Drosophila melanogaster: one gene and its partners. The protein of the gene in region 1 purifies or fractionates together with the protein of each later gene. This does not show direct contact. Each region holds a gene or a part of one and is shown in the gene's direction. Other genes may lie near its edges. The genes, in order: sun, ATPsynD, ATPsynF and ATPsyndelta.

Region 1 (3,560 bases):
ATGGCATCTATTGGATATTTCAAATAAATGCGACTTTTGAAGTTTGTTTAAATATTGTCAGCTTGTTGGCCTCTAAAATCAATTCTTTCTTAGTTGTTTTGCTTTTAGAGTTAGACTTTTGATGCGAAAACCCATGTAATACATTATTGTGCATATATCTTGCAGATTGGACCCACGAAACTGTGTCGAAAGCCGAAATCTTGCGCTTAATTTATCAAGGTCGTTTTCTTCATTGCAATGTAACCTTAGGAGCACTGGGACTTCCATTAGGCAAAACGACTGTTATGCATTTAGTGCCACGTGATAATTTGCCAGAGCCCAATTCACAAGGTAGGTTTTCAAAAAAAAAAAAAAAAAAGAAATATGGTTTCAATTATAAAGAGCTGCTCAAATTTAAATTCGCAATGCATACGAAAAACATCTTACTGAATTTTCCTCCTCTTTTAGATCAAAGACAAAATAGTAAAGGCGGTTCTGGACGATGCTGTTCGACAAATTGCTCTATTTTGTAACTAAATTATTATATAATAGCGTAATATTTAAACTAATTTGCATTAAAAGAAAAAAGAAAAAAAAAAAAACACCCACAACCGAAATAAAAACAAATATGAATGTATAAATTACATTTTTGTGCAGTCAGAAGTATATTTATTAAACTATAATAATGTATGTCTGGATCAACAAGGCGCTTTGTTTCAACTATTAATGTACATACAATATATATTTTATATATATACCACACAGGAATTCATGAGCATGTGCAAAATGCGTATACTCTGTATTAAAGTTGCTAGACTGCATATTTATAACATGTAATATACGAATACAATGCTAATTGCTTTTAGAAACCGGACTTGTTAACCTAATTAGAGAATGGGTAATTACAACACTTATTTCAAATATGTCGAAAATATTGAAAACTAATTATGTGCAAGAATAAGTAATTTTCCCATTGCGTTCTGCTTTTAAGTGTGCGTCTACCGAAAAACTAAATAAAATCAGCAATTACTTGTCAGATCGATTCTTTAATGCGTTAAAGAATATTAAAGAAATTTTTGTTCTGTATATATACACATTTAATTAGAACTTAAGTGTTTTCTTCTGTTAAGTTTTAAAATATTATCTGTAAAGTCTAACTTAAAGTCAATGATAAATAAATAATCTAATATATCCTTAGCTTATCCTATTTTGGGTGCATTGGTGGTTATTTGATTAATTAGCCTAGAACTAAAAACAAATTTCAAGGAAAATTGGGGAATATTTTTTTTAAGTTGATGGTTTAATGTAACAATTTTTCTTGAAATGCTTTATGCAAGGCACGTTAAACAATGTCTGCTTAATTATTTGTGTAGGCATGAATAAGTAACAAGCTTCGTTCTTTCGAATAAAACAGTTTGGCATATCCATATTTATTAGGGTTTTTCCCAAAGGAAGAAAAATAAGTAAATTAGATTTTTAAATATTGAAAAGTTTGAGTTTGGATATCGATAACAAATGTTACTAACAGTGTGTATGTTCAATAACAGAAGTCACAGTCGTCGTCGCTATCTTGACGCGCGTAAGCTAGTATTTAAGGTATATGTGCGACAATCGACGGTATATTTCTGACTTAACTCTCAAAAACTAGTTGGCCACACTGACCGGATTCAGAAAGGGAATATCTTATATATTTTTTGTGTAGCGTGAATATATTTCGAATAAACCGATCACAATGACTGCCTGGAGAGCTGCCGGAATTACGTAAGCATTGTATAAGTGCCTGCCACACCAGCTGTGTTGTGGCAGCATTCTCATGCAAATAAAAACGCCTTTGCTGCCCGATTACATAACATAATTAATCCAAATATTACCGATTGCAGCTACATCCAATACTCCAACATCGCCGCTCGCATTTTGCGCGAGTCCTTGAAGACGGGACTGCGTGCGGATGCCGCCAAGCGCGACGCGAGCCATGTGAAGTTCACTCCCTGGGCAAATGGCAAGCCAGCTCGTACGTATCATAATACTTTAGACGGCCAAATAGCAGCCATTATATAAATTAACTCCGGATAATTCGAAATCCAAGGGGAAACCGTTATCAATGTGTTATTAGGAATGTTTCGAAGTCATCCACAAGTGGTTTCCACACGGTATTCTACCCAAAAGTTTCGGAAAAAAGCCCCGTTTCGAAATGGCAATGTGAAAAATACCGAAAAATGAACGGTTCACTCGTGTTCCCACTTTACTCCGAAAATGTTGCCAATTTACAGGCGTAATATCGCGTGTAAAAACTGTTCCCATCTATAGATATTCGTATATTATTGCATATATCATATATATTTGCAATCTGTTTAAATCCTGATCATCAACATTGAAGCGTTCATACTCATCCAAACCATTTCTAAAACTTTAATTTCAAAATTTTCGTAACTTATTGGAATATCGAAACAAAATTAGGCAAAATTGCTTACCATTCCTTCAAGACAAACGCTCCATAAAGTAATAGAATTTATGTTTCATATTGCGTCATATTTGAATATATTTTTCAGATGAAAGGGCTTAGGTGTTCCATCGTCAAATTAATAATTTAAAAACTGGCGTAAGTGCCTGCCGCGGCAGACAAAACCCAAATTATCCCAGCGTTCGCATTAAACTCAACGACAGTTTATGTATCTAACTTTGTTCCCAAAGTTTCTAACTACGCTTACAAGCTGATCTGCATGCAAATGCGATGTGTTTACATATAATATAATGTTTATATTAATATACATATATATATCCCAAAATTGCCCGCCCCAAAAGTTTACAAGCGACCAACTATTAACTATTTCTTTGTGATGAAAAACTATTATCCAAAGCAAATGCTGATTATTGCCATTTTTCTGTCCGCAGAGCGTCAAACCCAATCGGAATCCTAGATGCTTTTCAGTGGCCACTCGAGAATGATTCGCAACAACTAAGATCCGCCGAAGCTGCAATGTTGTAAAATCATGAAAAATAAATAAAATTAAATAAATGTAATTTATTTAAACACGATGATTTTAATTGTTCTTAAATGTGGCATTTATTTGGGCGTTCCGTTTAGAGATCGCGACCGATGAAACGGACTTCTAGCAAAGATTTAAATATAGACTCAATAGAATATTGTAATTTTGAAAAGAACTATTGGTCAGGTTCACCAGAAGCCTTTTAATTGGGATCAGTGATAGGTTTCTTGCTATAATTTTGTCAACGCATATTTGTATAGAATGATTTTATACACATAATGCTGAACCAATTGAATTGTTACTTATATTTTGCGCTTTAAATATACACATATAGACATTATTTATGTTAATTATTATCCAGTTAGTTTATATTTTAATTTAAATATATATATATATATATTTTTAAGGTAGAGTATTTTGGATTATCCTTCAAAAATTATCGATTTGCTACCACTAAGACCGATTAAATTGCTACCGAAGTGCTATTTCAATTGCAGCATGTTGATTTGTGTGTTGATGATGTCGTGTACTTGCGTTTCCTATGTCATCGGGTGCGATCCTTCAATGGTTGGCGAGATTGCATTTCCCATCTTA
Region 2 (3,520 bases), on another chromosome or scaffold:
AAGTATAAATAGACACATTATTTACGCATTATGTTTTATTATATTTAAGACAAAATACAATCAACGTAAGTTAAAATATAAGATTGCAAACCTATTTACCCTCAATTCTAAATGTTTAAATATACAATAGTACATGACAATTTTGCATTTCCCGTTACGAAATTATATTTGTGTTTTTATCTCGGTAGAACCTTGAAAACCATGTTGTGTCAAGATGCAGCGAAAGCAGCGGGTGGCAACTTTTGGCAGGCAGTGTGCGAAAGCTAAGGTCAGGCCCATCTCTAGGTTGCTTCCGCACACAGACACGCACGCACACAGCGATGGGGAAATGCCAACGATAGCACAGGTCTAATCCATTTAATTCTGGCTTTTAACCGATTTCTGCTAATACTATTTATTTACCCGTTTGGTTTTGGCGACTGCTCTCTCTCTCTCCCTCCGTTCTTATTGCCGTGTGGCCATAATCCAATTATGCTTGTGTTTGTGTGTATGTGTCTGCTCTCTATTGCAATTGCAGTTATTCGCATCCGCCGTGATATGCAACCAACACATTCGCACTCGCGCACTCACACGCACCCGCAGACATCACAAATGCGAGGACCGAAAATCCTGAGCGTCAACAAAATAAATATAGCTCTGGTGTTTTAAAATAGGTTTTCACTCGATTCTGCGTTTGCTGTCTCGTCTTGTTTATGTGCATTCGTCGTTGGTTGTGTGTACTTGTTTTTTTTTTTTTTTGTTAGACGCGACTGTCCATTCAACATTACCACTCAGCCGACGCAGAGCGAGATTATAATTCGGTAACCGATTCACTGGCACTGCTCTAACGGGCTATAGCCTATGATCCAGTCTGGAATGGAGCTAAAGATATGTTGCTTTCATTTATGTCTGCACTCGCGAAAAAGCGTCCACAAATTAACAGTTCTTCGGGAGCGACGCGCAGCTAGACGTCCGACTTTGTTTTCCGACTCGATTAGAGTGACCGTTGTGGGATGGTGGAAAAAAGTGGAGGGCCCATGCTGAAACCGATAACAAAAATACCAGATGTGCGATATACACTATCGATAACGAGCACAATTTCTTAATTCTAATTTAAAACAATTATATAACGGGCTTTCGTGTTTTATTTAACAAATAGTGAATAAAATGCGGCTACTTCTTTTTGATGTACTTCATGTACTTCTTGGCGTTGAAGTTGTCCTCCACCTCCTCCATGATCTTGACCTTCTTGCGCGGCTTGCGGGCCTCCAATCTCGCTCTGCGCTCCGCATCGGTTAAGGTGCTCAGATCCAAGGGAAGCTAGTAGATGGTACTCGTTAATTATGGTTTCGTTAAGTTATAGTAACTAACGTTACCTTGATAATCTTCCTGGGCTCGTGATAGCGGATGTTTATCGTGGATCCATCGGGTTGCACCACAACTGTGGGATATAGCCGGCAGTAAACCGAGCGATGCAGCCTGGTAACCGCCGTCGTGGCCGATGAGATGCAGCGTATCTGCTGAACAGCCTGGGGCAACTGTTTCAGCAACATTTTAATTGATAATCACAATATTTACACTAAATAAGAGCTACACTTAAATCGTGTTTTTGCTGCCAGGCAGCTGATAGTGTGACCGACCCGAGGGTAAGATTTAAAGACTCCTAAATTAGTTATTAAGAATCTGTGGTAGCCCTGGTTCAGTTTCCACATTATGTGGTATTTTCCCCAGCTCTGGTCACATTCGTACTCAAAGTGTAAGTGTTGGTTGCAGAGGCAGAAATTCTTATTTTTCTCCTTGAAAATATAAGTACGTTACGTTAAACACTGCAAAAATAATAAAAAAAAAGCGCACGGTTGGGCTACAACAGCGATTAGTCTGCAAGCCTCGAGGAAAGGACTGCAAACGCGTTTTTAGTTTGAAGGAACATTGAGGATTGAAAAAAATTACATAATTTTTGCGAGCATAACTCGCCGTGCATTATGTCGATAAGTCTGCAACTAAAGAAGCAGAGATTACATTTCAACTAATAAGAATATCGCTGCACAGTTCCAGGACACCTAGAAATCACTTACCACCTCTATAAACCCAAAAACCTAACCTCATCCCCGCTTTTGTTGTTGTCTTGCAGTATCTGTGCAGAATGGCCGCCCGCCGTATCGCCCAATCCTCGATCAACTGGTCCGCTCTCGCCGAGCGCGTGCCCGCCAACCAGAAGAGCAGCTTCGGCGCCTTCAAGACCAAGTCGGACATCTATGTGCGCGCCGTGCTGGCCAATCCCGAGTGCCCACCCCAGATCGATTGGGCCAACTACAAGAAGCTTGTGCCAGTGGCCGGACTCGTCGATAGCTTCCAGAAGCAGTACGAAGCCCTGAAGGTGCCCTATCCCCAGGACAAGGTGTCGTCCCAGGTGGATGCCGAGATCAAGGCGTCGCAGAGCGAAATCGATGCCTACAAGAAGGCCTCGGAGCAGCGCATTCAGAACTACCAAAAGGAGATCGCCCATCTCAAGTCTCTGCTGCCCTACGACCAGATGACCATGGAGGACTACCGCGACGCATTCCCCGATAGCGCACTCGATCCCCTCAACAAGCCCACCTTCTGGCCCCACACTCCCGAGGAGCAGGTCGGCTACAAGTCCAAGGAGCAGCTGGAGGCCGAAGCCCAGGGACACCACTAAACCGGAGCGCACGAGGAGCACTCTGACACTGGCTTCGTTGGTCGTCTGTTCGATTCGAAATGTAATCCGCGTTGAAGTAAATTACCCAAATTAAATTCATTTCAAATGACAGTTACGGTATCTAATTTGCATTTGTTGTCTATGTGACATCTTGTTGGATGGATATGCATAAAGAAAATGGGATCCTTAAATCAAAATAATGAAATAAATTGAGAAAACAATCAATTTGACAGCCCAATGCACTGGAAATGATAGCCGGTCCTTGCAGTTTTATAAGCTAATAGATAAAAATCAAATGCACAAATAAATAAATAAGCAAATTGGCTACAATTCAAACTTAAACTTAAACAAAAATTAAAATTACTAATCGGCACCAATGGTGGTGCTAGACTCCGCTAAATGCGGATGTTGTACTTGCTAAATGAAACTAAAGCTCCCTCTTGTGGGCGGTGGCAAATAAATTCCCAGAGATGTCGGTTTCTGGGAATGAAAAGCACTTCCTGATTTCTAAAAAATTTAATAATTCCGAAAGTACTTTATATTGAAATTTAATGTGCGTCAAATTAGCGTCGATGAGTTAGAGGCGGCACAGTAAGTGGGAATTCCTGCTCCTTATTGCCACACCGCTGGATTTTAATACTTTTAAACCTCTACCTTGGTTTGTGTCCGCACTACAGGCAGTATATTCTAACTGGATTTTCCCGATCGCCTTAGTATATTTTTCAAATGTTTATTGGTTGAAAGACTGAGCACTGCTAGCATTTATTTTGAGAGAATTCAAGCAGTGCCATCTTGTTTGGCTCTCCGAAAGCCGTTAAAAGCTTCAGTCGCCGCTCAAATCTCGTTTCTCTCGCCATCTCG
Region 3 (2,807 bases), on another chromosome or scaffold:
ATCTGCTCGAAGCGCAGCTTCTGCTCGTGTTCCCGCCGGGCGTAGTCGATTTCGGCCAGACGGGCCTGCTTGAGCAGCCTAAACAGGTCCTGCTTGTACTTCTGCTCTATCTCCGTGGCGGCGACCAAATCTAAGGACTGGCTATTTGTGTCTGCAACTGGGGTGGCGCTCGGAGCTGCGTTGGTGGAGGCTTCGTTCTCGTCGGACAGCAGCGACTGGGCCTGTGAGAGCTGGTTAACGATGAGATAGTATTATTAGTAAGAAAGATTAAGATTCCCCTTCACAAAAATTTGCAACTTGTTCAGCTAAACCTTAATTAATAATAATAAATAAACTTGCGGCTTGTGTTCAAACTCACATTCCTTTGTCGCCGCTTTCGTGGTGGGCCTACGCCCTTTTCGTTCTCCTCCCCCGTTTCGCCGGACGTTTCTGTCTTGGCGCCCGAGGGCGACTGCTTGGCCTTGGTCCGCTTGCGTCGCTGGGCTGGCAGCTGGGCGGGATTTCCCTCCTGCTGGGAGTCCCCGTCTCCGCCAGCAGTGGAGGGCGGCGGCGAGGGGATGGCTATTGTGGAGGTCTGCAGCGTGTCCTCGCTGGCGTTCGTAGAGTTGGGCAGAGCGGCCAGCGGCATGTCTTCGTCCTCGTCGATGTCCATGAGCTCCTTCTTAAGAGCGCCGTTTGTGTTCGCGCTGCGTGTCTGACTGCGCGAGGTGACCGGATCCTTCTGCATCTCCTCCAGGAACTCGATCATCCGCATGCCTTCCAGGGCCTCCGTTTTCGGATGCTTCTGCTGGTGCTCCCGCTTGGCGGAGTTCTTCATGCTGCGCCACTGCACCTGGATCTGCTCCAGCAGGCGATGGCGGAAGTTAAGGGCATTGAACCTGGATGGGGGGTTGGAATGGAAGGAGTGAAGGGCCATTATAAGACGAGCTCCACTGCCCAATGGCGCAACTTACTGCTTGGTGATCTGCGACCAGGCCAGACGCTTGGCCTTTATGCTCTTGGCGTCCACGCTCCGGTTCTCCACGAAGGCCACCTTGGACTTGATGACCTCAAGGAGCAGCCCCCTTTCCGCCTCCTCCCAGTTAAGGGAGCGTTTCTTGCGCGTGCCCTTCTTCTTGCCACCCGCGCCTTCCTTCTCGCCAGCATCCTCGGCCGCATCCTCCGCGTTCTCCGCCCCCTCGTCCGCGGTGGCGCTGCTTGACTTCTGCGGCTTCAGCTCCACCTTCTCGTCCTCGTCGTCGTCCTCCGGCGGAGAGGAGGCTCCCTTGGTCAGCAACTCCTCCAGTTTCATTGTTTTTGTTTACACACTGGATTCGCTTTGGCTGGATTCTGATTCGAATGCCCAGGCTTGCAAAAATCCTATTTGATTTCTGTATATACTGGAGCTTAGTGATGTGAGAAGTGCATCGTGCATCGGGCATCGATATATTCGCTGTATCGATGACGTAGCGAATACATCCTCCCTGTTAGCGGAGACGCACACAATAAATTCGCACATAGTATATTTCGGTATATTGGTCGATGAAAATCCCAGCTCTCGCCGCTTTGGTCATACTGTCAGTATCGAAGGAAGTAAGTAGCAGGCGTAATTTTATGTTTCATAAGAATCCGATTTAAGAATATATCTCAACCAAACCAGCGCGATGGCATTCGGTGACTATCCAGCTGAGTACAACCCCAAGGTGCACGGGCCCTACGACCCCGCTCGCTTCTACGGCAAAGGTGAGCAGGTTACGTAATTTTTGCGGCAGGCACAGAGCACATTTGCACTGCCCAAAAATGTGCAGCGTTTTACATAATTTAAACAACTTTCCGACCTCTCCGCTCTCTCCGATCCGCAGCCGATGTGCCCTTCGGCCAGGTCAAGCTGGGCGAGATCGGCGCCTGGCTGGGACGCCGCAACAAGACCCCCAACGCTGTGGCCGGAGCTGTGAGCCGTGCCTGGTGGCGCTGGCAGCACAAGTACGTGTTCCCAAAGCGCGCCGGGATCGCTCCCTTCTTCCAGCTGACCGTCGCCAGCATGACGTTCTTCTATCTGATTAACTACACCAAGTTGAAGCACCACAGGAACTACAAGTACCACTAAGCGGCGCTGCCCGGTGGTCCTGCATCTGCAACAGATTCTACACTTTCCACAAGGCGTGCGAGAGGCGGGCAATCACCACTAAACTATATCTATTTGGCTTTTGTGTTTTGAAAACTGCTTAAGTGAATAAAACGGCTGCGAATATCCATGCTGCCATAGACTCAGACTCGGTCTCTTCCGCACTCGAAGACTGCATTTGGGCCGATGTCCAGCTCGGAACTGGACTGCTCCCAGCCGAAAGTTGACCGGGCCGTGTGGATTTCGCAGATAAAGGGCAGCTCCCGGTCGCAGTTCAGGGTTTGCCAGGTTCCCTGCGGCGTCAAGGCCACGCAGCTGGCGTTGCCCAGATCACCACTGCAAATTCGGTTAGATTTAGAGAAGATAGCATTGGCGGCTAACCTAATAAACTGTCAGCCTACCCAACTCGAGGATGACCACCATCCCAGGCTCTGTAAAGAAAGCACTGCAAGCTCTCCCCTTGGGAGTTCCTGAAGTCCAGTGGGCTCAATGACGTTGAGCTGTTGTAGGCCAAACCCACATAGGCCAGATAGACATTACCTTCTGCCAGAGACTGTGATTTCCTGTTGAATTCCACTAGCCATTGGGCCAATAAACTGGTTCTGTGTTCGGATGCGATGTGGGCCAGACTACCAGTGAACTCCGAGGAGTTTGAACAGGTCAGTGAGGCATTCAAGTAGGCACTAGGCTGAGTATACACCAC
Region 4 (6,771 bases), 5.6 Mb from region 1:
AACAAATTTTAAAACGCAAGTAGAATGTCATTTACTTCACTAAGCTGAACATTACTTTTGAGAATTATTATGGGTTTTTAATTATTTGTTTTATTCTTAATTAGTTGAGATTGACAACTAATCATAAAGATCGGATGACAAGAAAACCTACATATAATTTTGCCTGAATCAGATAGTACGAAGGGTATACACTTTTCGAAGTATCTAAAAGTACCGTAACAAAAAACAAAAGGAGCAGAAGATGAAAGCGAAGAAGCAAAAAGAGGAGCAACGACCCAACATTGTTGTTGTCTTATGCCGCTGCTTCTTTGCGATGTTGCCGTTCCGCTCGCACCGCTATAGCTTGGGGTCAATAGCTAAGGATCGGATCTGTTGTATATATGTTTATATAGACCGATTGCGGTTAGTTCTCTTATCAGAAATAACATGAAATATATTGCGTTGCGACGCCACTGGCGACCGCGACGCAGGCAGAGGGCAAGACAGCGGAGAAGAGAGTGAGTGAGAGTGTGACGGCGGAGAGAGAGGTAAACAAAAATACACAAACACATACACATGCGCGCTACAGCTGCTCGTTCACATGTGTATGCGGGCCTGTATGTGTGCAACAAACAAAAAGCAGAAAATCCTTCTCTTCTTCACACCCTTTTTCCACAACAAAGTCAGCTGTGTGTGTGAGGAATGAACTTTAAGGCAAGCTTTCTGTTTCTATTTTTTGCAGAGTTTTTCCAACTGAAAGGCGCAATTTGCTAAGACACCTATACACATACACGAAGAGCCAAGCAAAATAGAAGATATAACAAAACAAAATAGAAAATAAGCAGAGCGAAAAATATATAGACAGCTATCTATGCACACAAACACAAACATGGGGAAACACTGTTGTTTTTCGCAACTGCGTTTCGCCTGCAGGTGCGACAGAGAGGGCGCGAGTGGGTGACAAACTTGGGTAAATGTTGCAAGCACTTACGTCCTGTGTGTTTTGTTTGTTTGTTTGTTTGCTTGTCGCCTTTCGCTGTCGTTCGCCAACAAACACCTCAGCGCAGAGCACACACGCGACACGCACACACTCACACACAGTCACAGAGACGTGCACAAATAGCAGCCGAAAATGGCACTCTCTTCTTCTTCACTTGTATAATAATGCAGCAATCTGCATTGTTTCGTTTCTATTTCCAATTGGAATTTGTTGTTGTGCTGCCTGTGCCAGTGTGACCAGGTAGCGCGGTGGCTAAAAATAGTCGCTAACGCCAGTTTTGAATGTTGCGCGGGTAAAAGATTCGTGAGATACGAAAAAACTCCGAACTTTAATAAAAGGATCTAATAAAAAAGGAAATACTGAAAAAGAAACTAAACAAAATCAAAAACACCAGATTCATAACAGTATAAATGGTCGCATGGTTATGCCATGTAAACACACCGTTATTAATCAAAGTCTTAATCTAATAAAGGAAATTTCATTTTTTAAATTATAATTTTTGGAATAAATAGTTTTTCTTTTAATATCATTTTTAATGTACGATCAAAAGCAATATACAAAAAATTTAAGCTTTTAATTGGCGATGCCAGACTAATGAATTAAAAGAATAAGTGTTGCCACTAAAAGTTTATTGGTCTATATAATTTGTTTATTGATTGAGGCACTTTATTATTATAATTAAAACACTTAATTATTATGTGTGAAATGATTGCACTTTTTATTTTGTAAGAGCCTGTTGCGTATTGAAAATTTTGTATTTTGTCTTGTCCTCTAAATATCGTAAAAACGCGTTATTGCTAGATAAGTTTTGTATTCCCGGCTGGTCACTCTGACTTAAACGTTTTTCGCAAAAACAGCGGCTGATCACTGAAGTTTTCTCGTGTTTTTCGCTATCAAACCGAAATAAAAACAGGTGAAAATAACTGATAAATTGAGGGGTAGTCCACTGATCACAGTGCCCGAGGATTTGCAATGAAAAGCGATCGAAATTTGAGCTGGGGAAACGCAATAGCAGCCGCCGCCTAACCTACAAAGTTACATAATTTGGTTATTTTGTTGTTATGCTGGCTGGCTGTGGCAGAAAAGACTTTTAATCCTGAATTTATCCTCTCGTTGCAGCCCAAAATGTCCTTCGTTAAGAACGCCCGTTTGCTGGCCGCCCGCGGCGCTCGCTTGGCCCAGAACCGCAGCTACTCGGATGAGATGAAGCTGACCTTCGCCGCCGCCAACAAAACCTTCTACGATGCCGCTGTGGTGCGCCAAATCGATGTGCCTTCCTTCTCGGGATCCTTCGGCATCCTGGCCAAGCACGTGCCCACTCTGGGTAAGTTCGATCATTCAGTTTCAGTTGCCTCGAGATGGTTATATCACCGTTGGCGAATCTCTTTGCTATTGCAGCTGTCCTGAAGCCCGGCGTTGTCCAGGTGGTGGAAAACGATGGCAAGACCCTCAAGTTCTTCGTCTCCAGCGGTTCCGTCACCGTCAACGAGGATTCCTCCGTTCAGGTTCTGGCCGAGGAGGCCCACAACATCGAGGACATCGATGCCAATGAGGCGCGCCAGCTGCTCGCGAAATACCAGTCACAGCTTAGCTCCGCTGGCGACGACAAGGTGCGAATCTAGTCAAGAAGTTGCATAGTAGAGTAGTGTCTAGAAAGTAGAAGTAGTGGTCCAGAAAGTACAACTCAAACAGACTCTTTTGATGGAAACACTGCTTCCACCATTCACGCCAACTGGCATTTAAGTTACTAAACGATTTCTATGTGCCCATCCTTTTTACTTGATATACTTTCTTTGTACAAACAAGTTTGCTCTTAAATTAACGCTTACACATTCGATATTTCCATGAGTAAACTTATGTTTGAGTTGCTTTTGCATTCTGTATTGCACATTCTGAAGCTATCTAAACGAGACTTAACCACGATCCTTGTTTTGCAGGCCAAGGCCCAGGCTGCCATTGCCGTGGAGGTCGCCGAAGCGTTAGTCAAGGCTGCCGAATAGACGTAATCACCACACAACCGCCACCAATAAACCACAATCGATGCTTTGTGTCTGAAATAAATAAAAAACATAACGATCACCTTAAAAAGCCAGAGAGTTATGAAACAATAAAAAAGCGAATCATAATATCGTATTAATGACCCGTGATCCACCAGGCAAATGATTTTTTTTTCTTTTTTTTTTCATGTTATGCCGCTAAACTGTGTGTTTATATAGTTTATAATATATGTATGTGAGCTGGTGAAGAGAAATGTGTAATATTTGCTCGCTGTGGGATAGACCGTTGATATGATAATGCTTTGGCAATCTTTAAGTCAAAAATATGAGTGATTTGCATTTTGGCCGAAAGAGACGAACGTCGTTTCTTTTTCCCTTGCCAATTTATGCAAATCGCATAAGCATAAAAACTTACAATTTGTAAATGAGCTCGTCTTTCATCTTAACAAATAGTATAGTTTGTATTTCATCTGGTGTGTTGCATTCATGGATAGTTCGCATATCTTATCTCGGATGATTGTTTAAATTTCTCTCAAAAGTAGTAATAAAAAGCAACTTTGTTTTTTTTTTATGGAAACAAGAATTAATCAATGGCTAAAATTATACTTTTGGCAGATAGAAGATAATCCATTTTGAAACTCTTTATAAAGATGATAAATACTATAGAATTGAAAAAAGAAAATTGGATTTTTTTTTTTTGGAATTGTCTATGTATTTGGTAACAAAAAAATGTGTTGTAAAAAAAATGTCTTAAATTAACTCATGGCGTTGTGTGGGAATGGTAATATGCTGTCGATGTAGTTAGCAGGAAGGTCCTCCGATAGATTGGCGAATTGTTCTAGTATCCCGGTGGGCCGTAGGTCTGGGCAGGGGCGTGACCGATGGGCAGGGACTGCTCCTCGGGAGCAAAAACGGGTGCAGGAGCGGGATGTGGCACACTCAGGACGGGAGCGGGTGCTGGGGCGGCATAGACTGGAGCTGGGGCAGGAGCGGAGTAAACTGGAGCGGGAGCAGGAGCGGAGTAAGCTGGAGCGGGAGCAGGTGCGGAGTACACTGGAGCGGGAGCAGGAGCAGAGTACACAGGAGCTGGGGCAGGAGCGGAGTACACTGGAGCGGGAGCAGGTGCGGAGTACACAGGAGCGGGAGCAGGAGCAGCATAAACTGGAGCCGGAGCTGGAGCAGCATAAACTGGAGCCGGAGCAGCGATCTCCTGAGGAGGCAGGTAGGAAGCGACTGGAGCAGCCACTGGTGCGGGCACATCGATGGGGGCATAGGCTGGACCGGCAGCTGGAGCGGAGTGCTCATGGATCACACGCACCACCTTGGTGGCTCCACCCGAAGAGTAACCACCGGAGGAGTAGCCACCCGACGAGTAGCCACCCGACGAGATGCCGCTGTCGTGGCTCTCGTGAACGACCTTGATGACCTGGGACACGGCACCGCCGCCAACCGAAGAGCCGCCGATGAAGGATGGTCCAGCCACGGGTCCAGATGCCACATTCACCACCTTGACAATCTGCGGAGCGCTCTCGACCAGCGGGGCACTCACAATGGGTGCGGATTCCTGCAGGATCTTGATCACCTTGACGGAGGAGGGGGCGGGCCCAGCTGGAGGCAGATAAGCGGGTCCAGGAGCGGGTCCATAGCCACCGCCGCTGCCGCCAGAGATGACCTTCACCTTGAAGATCTGGGGAGCCGCCTCGTAGCCATAGCCGCTGCCATAGCTAGCGCCGGAGGAGTAGCCAACGCCGCCCTGCTGATGGATCACCTTGACCACCTGGACTGGGCCACTGGGTCCATGGCCGCCATAGCCGCGAGCGCCACTACCACCGCCGCCGCCTCCGTTGCCACCACCGCCTCCGAGGTTAAGGCCGCCACCACCGCCTCCACCGCCGCCACCGCCGAGGAGTCCCAGGAAGCCAGCGTTGGCCACAGCGAACAGAGCACACATGCAAACGAAGACCTGGAAGGATGGCAGAGTATAAGAAGCGATTTAGTTTCATGTTTCATGTTGCATCCTTAGAGGATTTTAAAGAATATATAAAGTTCATTAAGTTTTTGTTATGTTTTCCAATTAGAAAGTAGAGTTTTATCGCTGGTTTTTTTTTCTATATCTTTAAAGGATCTTTGATCTTCATAGACTGTATTTTCCAAATGGATATACTTTGTATTCATTCTTTGTTTAAATATTTTCATTTTCAATCTTCTGATATTCTTCAGCACACTTTGTATTTGAATATTAACTATCACTTCTTCGAAAGTTCGAAAGAATTTAAACTGAGCTCAGGATGCTCTTGCCACTTTGTCACTTTTCAAATCAGTTTGGATAAATAAAAAAAAAAAAACTAGAAGAGGATATTTGCCGGCACAGGACATTGTGAGCAGCTCACCTTCATGCTGACTACTAATCCACTTGATGCGATGATACCAATTCCAAAAAAAAAAAAACGCCTTGAGTGCCGATGAGCAAGCGACTGATGTCCGATCGATTGGAGACCAAGTCTTTTATACGATATAAGCCAGCAAGGGCGAACAAAAGGCGTTTCATTAACATTTCCAAACTGCCCATCAACGCCATCATCATCATCGCCACGATGATGAGCAGCATCATGATGATGGGCTTTCGTTTTCATTTCGATTTTCACCAAATGCTGCTGGACGCACCCAAAAGTGCCAATCGTCGTGGTTGGTTCTTCCATAGCCAGTTGGATTCGGAGCTACCAGCTACCAGCTACCAGCTACCAGCTACCAGCTACCAGCTACCAGTTTCAGTTTCATCAAGTCTTACGCTGCATTTCCCAAATTCCGAATGGGGATCCCACAATTAGCATGAAAATGAGACGCTACGTTAGTGATAAGCTCGGAATGGGGCTTTCATATTTCGTATTTTTTTTTTTATTCGGCATCTTATGTTTTATGGTTTAGGTTTTCGTTTTCATTTTGATTTTGATTTCGATTTGGATTTTGGATTTTGGTCAATTCAATTTGCATACACGGGCGTGCTGCAAAGCGGTTGCCTCACAAGGCGGCCGGCAGTCTGTCATAAACCAAAGCGAAAACCTAACCCAACCCAACCCAATCCAATCCAATCGAAACCAAACCAACCCATTCCATTTCACCTCATCCGGCAATTTCAAGGTGAATCTGAATCGGAATCTGTTGTCAAGCCGAACCATCTCATTGATGGTGGCTATATTCCATCTATATGCAGGTATTTATAAAACGAGCCGATTATTATGCAAGCCACCAGTCGCATCTTCGAGCCATGTAAAACGCATTATGTTGGCCCAATAGGCCAAAGATGTTGTAAAATTGGCCAACGGTTCGGATCAGTGATATCTGTTGGCGCATTTTAAATAGCCACTAAGTATTACATACTTACAACAATAAACATATGTTTATTTACACAAATATTCAACATAATCAACTGATGTGCATATATATATATATCCATTTAGAATCATATTTCTACTCAGTTTATAACAATTTTATAAAATACTATCAAATTGTTCAAATTGGTTATGCTTTTCGGTTAAGAAACGTATTAATTTATACCAAAAAAAAAAGAGATTTTCAGTGGGCAGATCAGATTGGTGGGAAATCAAGTAATATCCAAGAAATGGTTGGCTAACCTGCACTCTGCCACTAATCGTGATTATGATCTTGTCGCGGTCTATTATGGTTTGTTAATTGATCCATGCATGGAATGCATCTGTTGAGAAACTACATACATACATACATAAATATCTATATTAGTGCATCTGCAATCTCGAAACAAGTTTGGCTCAAATCTTC

What was found.
Region 2: the proteins of sun (region 1) and ATPsynD purify together in Drosophila melanogaster (affinity purification with mass spectrometry; 2 studies listed by BioGRID, with this or other methods). This does not show direct contact.
Region 3: the proteins of sun (region 1) and ATPsynF purify together in Drosophila melanogaster (affinity purification with mass spectrometry; 2 studies listed by BioGRID, with this or other methods). This does not show direct contact.
Region 4: the proteins of sun (region 1) and ATPsyndelta purify together in Drosophila melanogaster (affinity purification with mass spectrometry; 2 studies listed by BioGRID, with this or other methods). This does not show direct contact.

The regions. Positions count from the first base shown.
Region 1 is NC_004354.4:15,847,316-15,850,875, reverse strand, and holds sun (stunted), read left to right. Parts: upstream 1-1,617; 5' UTR 1,618-1,711; coding exon 1,712-1,740; intron 1,741-1,859; coding exon 1,860-1,990; intron 1,991-2,528; coding exon of another isoform or gene 2,529-2,542; exon of another isoform or gene 2,543-2,578; intron 2,579-2,871; coding exon 2,872-2,897; 3' UTR 2,898-3,017; downstream 3,018-3,560. Other genes in the region: UBL3 (ubiquitin like 3), read left to right, coding at 166-330, 448-512. UniProt on the Drosophila melanogaster protein: Activates the G-protein coupled receptor mth in vitro, leading to increased intracellular calcium ion levels.
Region 2 is NT_033777.3:19,093,287-19,096,806, forward strand, and holds ATPsynD (ATP synthase, subunit D), read left to right. Parts: upstream 1-1,713; 5' UTR 1,714-1,788; intron 1,789-2,110; 5' UTR 2,111-2,122; coding exon 2,123-2,659; 3' UTR 2,660-2,985; downstream 2,986-3,520. Other genes in the region: mRpL55 (mitochondrial ribosomal protein L55), read right to left, coding at 1,153-1,299, 1,356-1,532. UniProt on the Drosophila melanogaster protein: Mitochondrial membrane ATP synthase (F(1)F(0) ATP synthase or Complex V) produces ATP from ADP in the presence of a proton gradient across the membrane which is generated by electron transport complexes of the respiratory chain.
Region 3 is NT_033778.4:24,598,532-24,601,338, reverse strand, and holds ATPsynF (ATP synthase, subunit F), read left to right. Parts: upstream 1-1,517; 5' UTR 1,518-1,572; exon of another isoform or gene 1,573-1,639; 5' UTR 1,640-1,643; coding exon 1,644-1,722; intron 1,723-1,841; coding exon 1,842-2,086; 3' UTR 2,087-2,247; downstream 2,248-2,807. Other genes in the region: CG3548 (uncharacterized protein), read right to left, coding at 1-230, 359-878, 954-1,291; CG13587 (uncharacterized protein), read right to left, coding at 2,248-2,440, 2,506-2,807. UniProt on the Drosophila melanogaster protein: Mitochondrial membrane ATP synthase (F(1)F(0) ATP synthase or Complex V) produces ATP from ADP in the presence of a proton gradient across the membrane which is generated by electron transport complexes of the respiratory chain.
Region 4 is NC_004354.4:10,211,183-10,217,953, forward strand, and holds ATPsyndelta (ATP synthase, delta subunit), read left to right. Parts: upstream 1-1,787; 5' UTR 1,788-1,892; intron 1,893-2,098; 5' UTR 2,099-2,104; coding exon 2,105-2,303; intron 2,304-2,377; coding exon 2,378-2,589; intron 2,590-2,916; coding exon 2,917-2,979; 3' UTR 2,980-3,814; coding exon of another isoform or gene 3,815-4,939; 3' UTR 4,940-5,366; coding exon of another isoform or gene 5,367-5,372; 3' UTR 5,373-6,211; downstream 6,212-6,771. Other genes in the region: CG2962 (uncharacterized protein), read right to left, coding at 3,815-4,939, 5,367-5,372.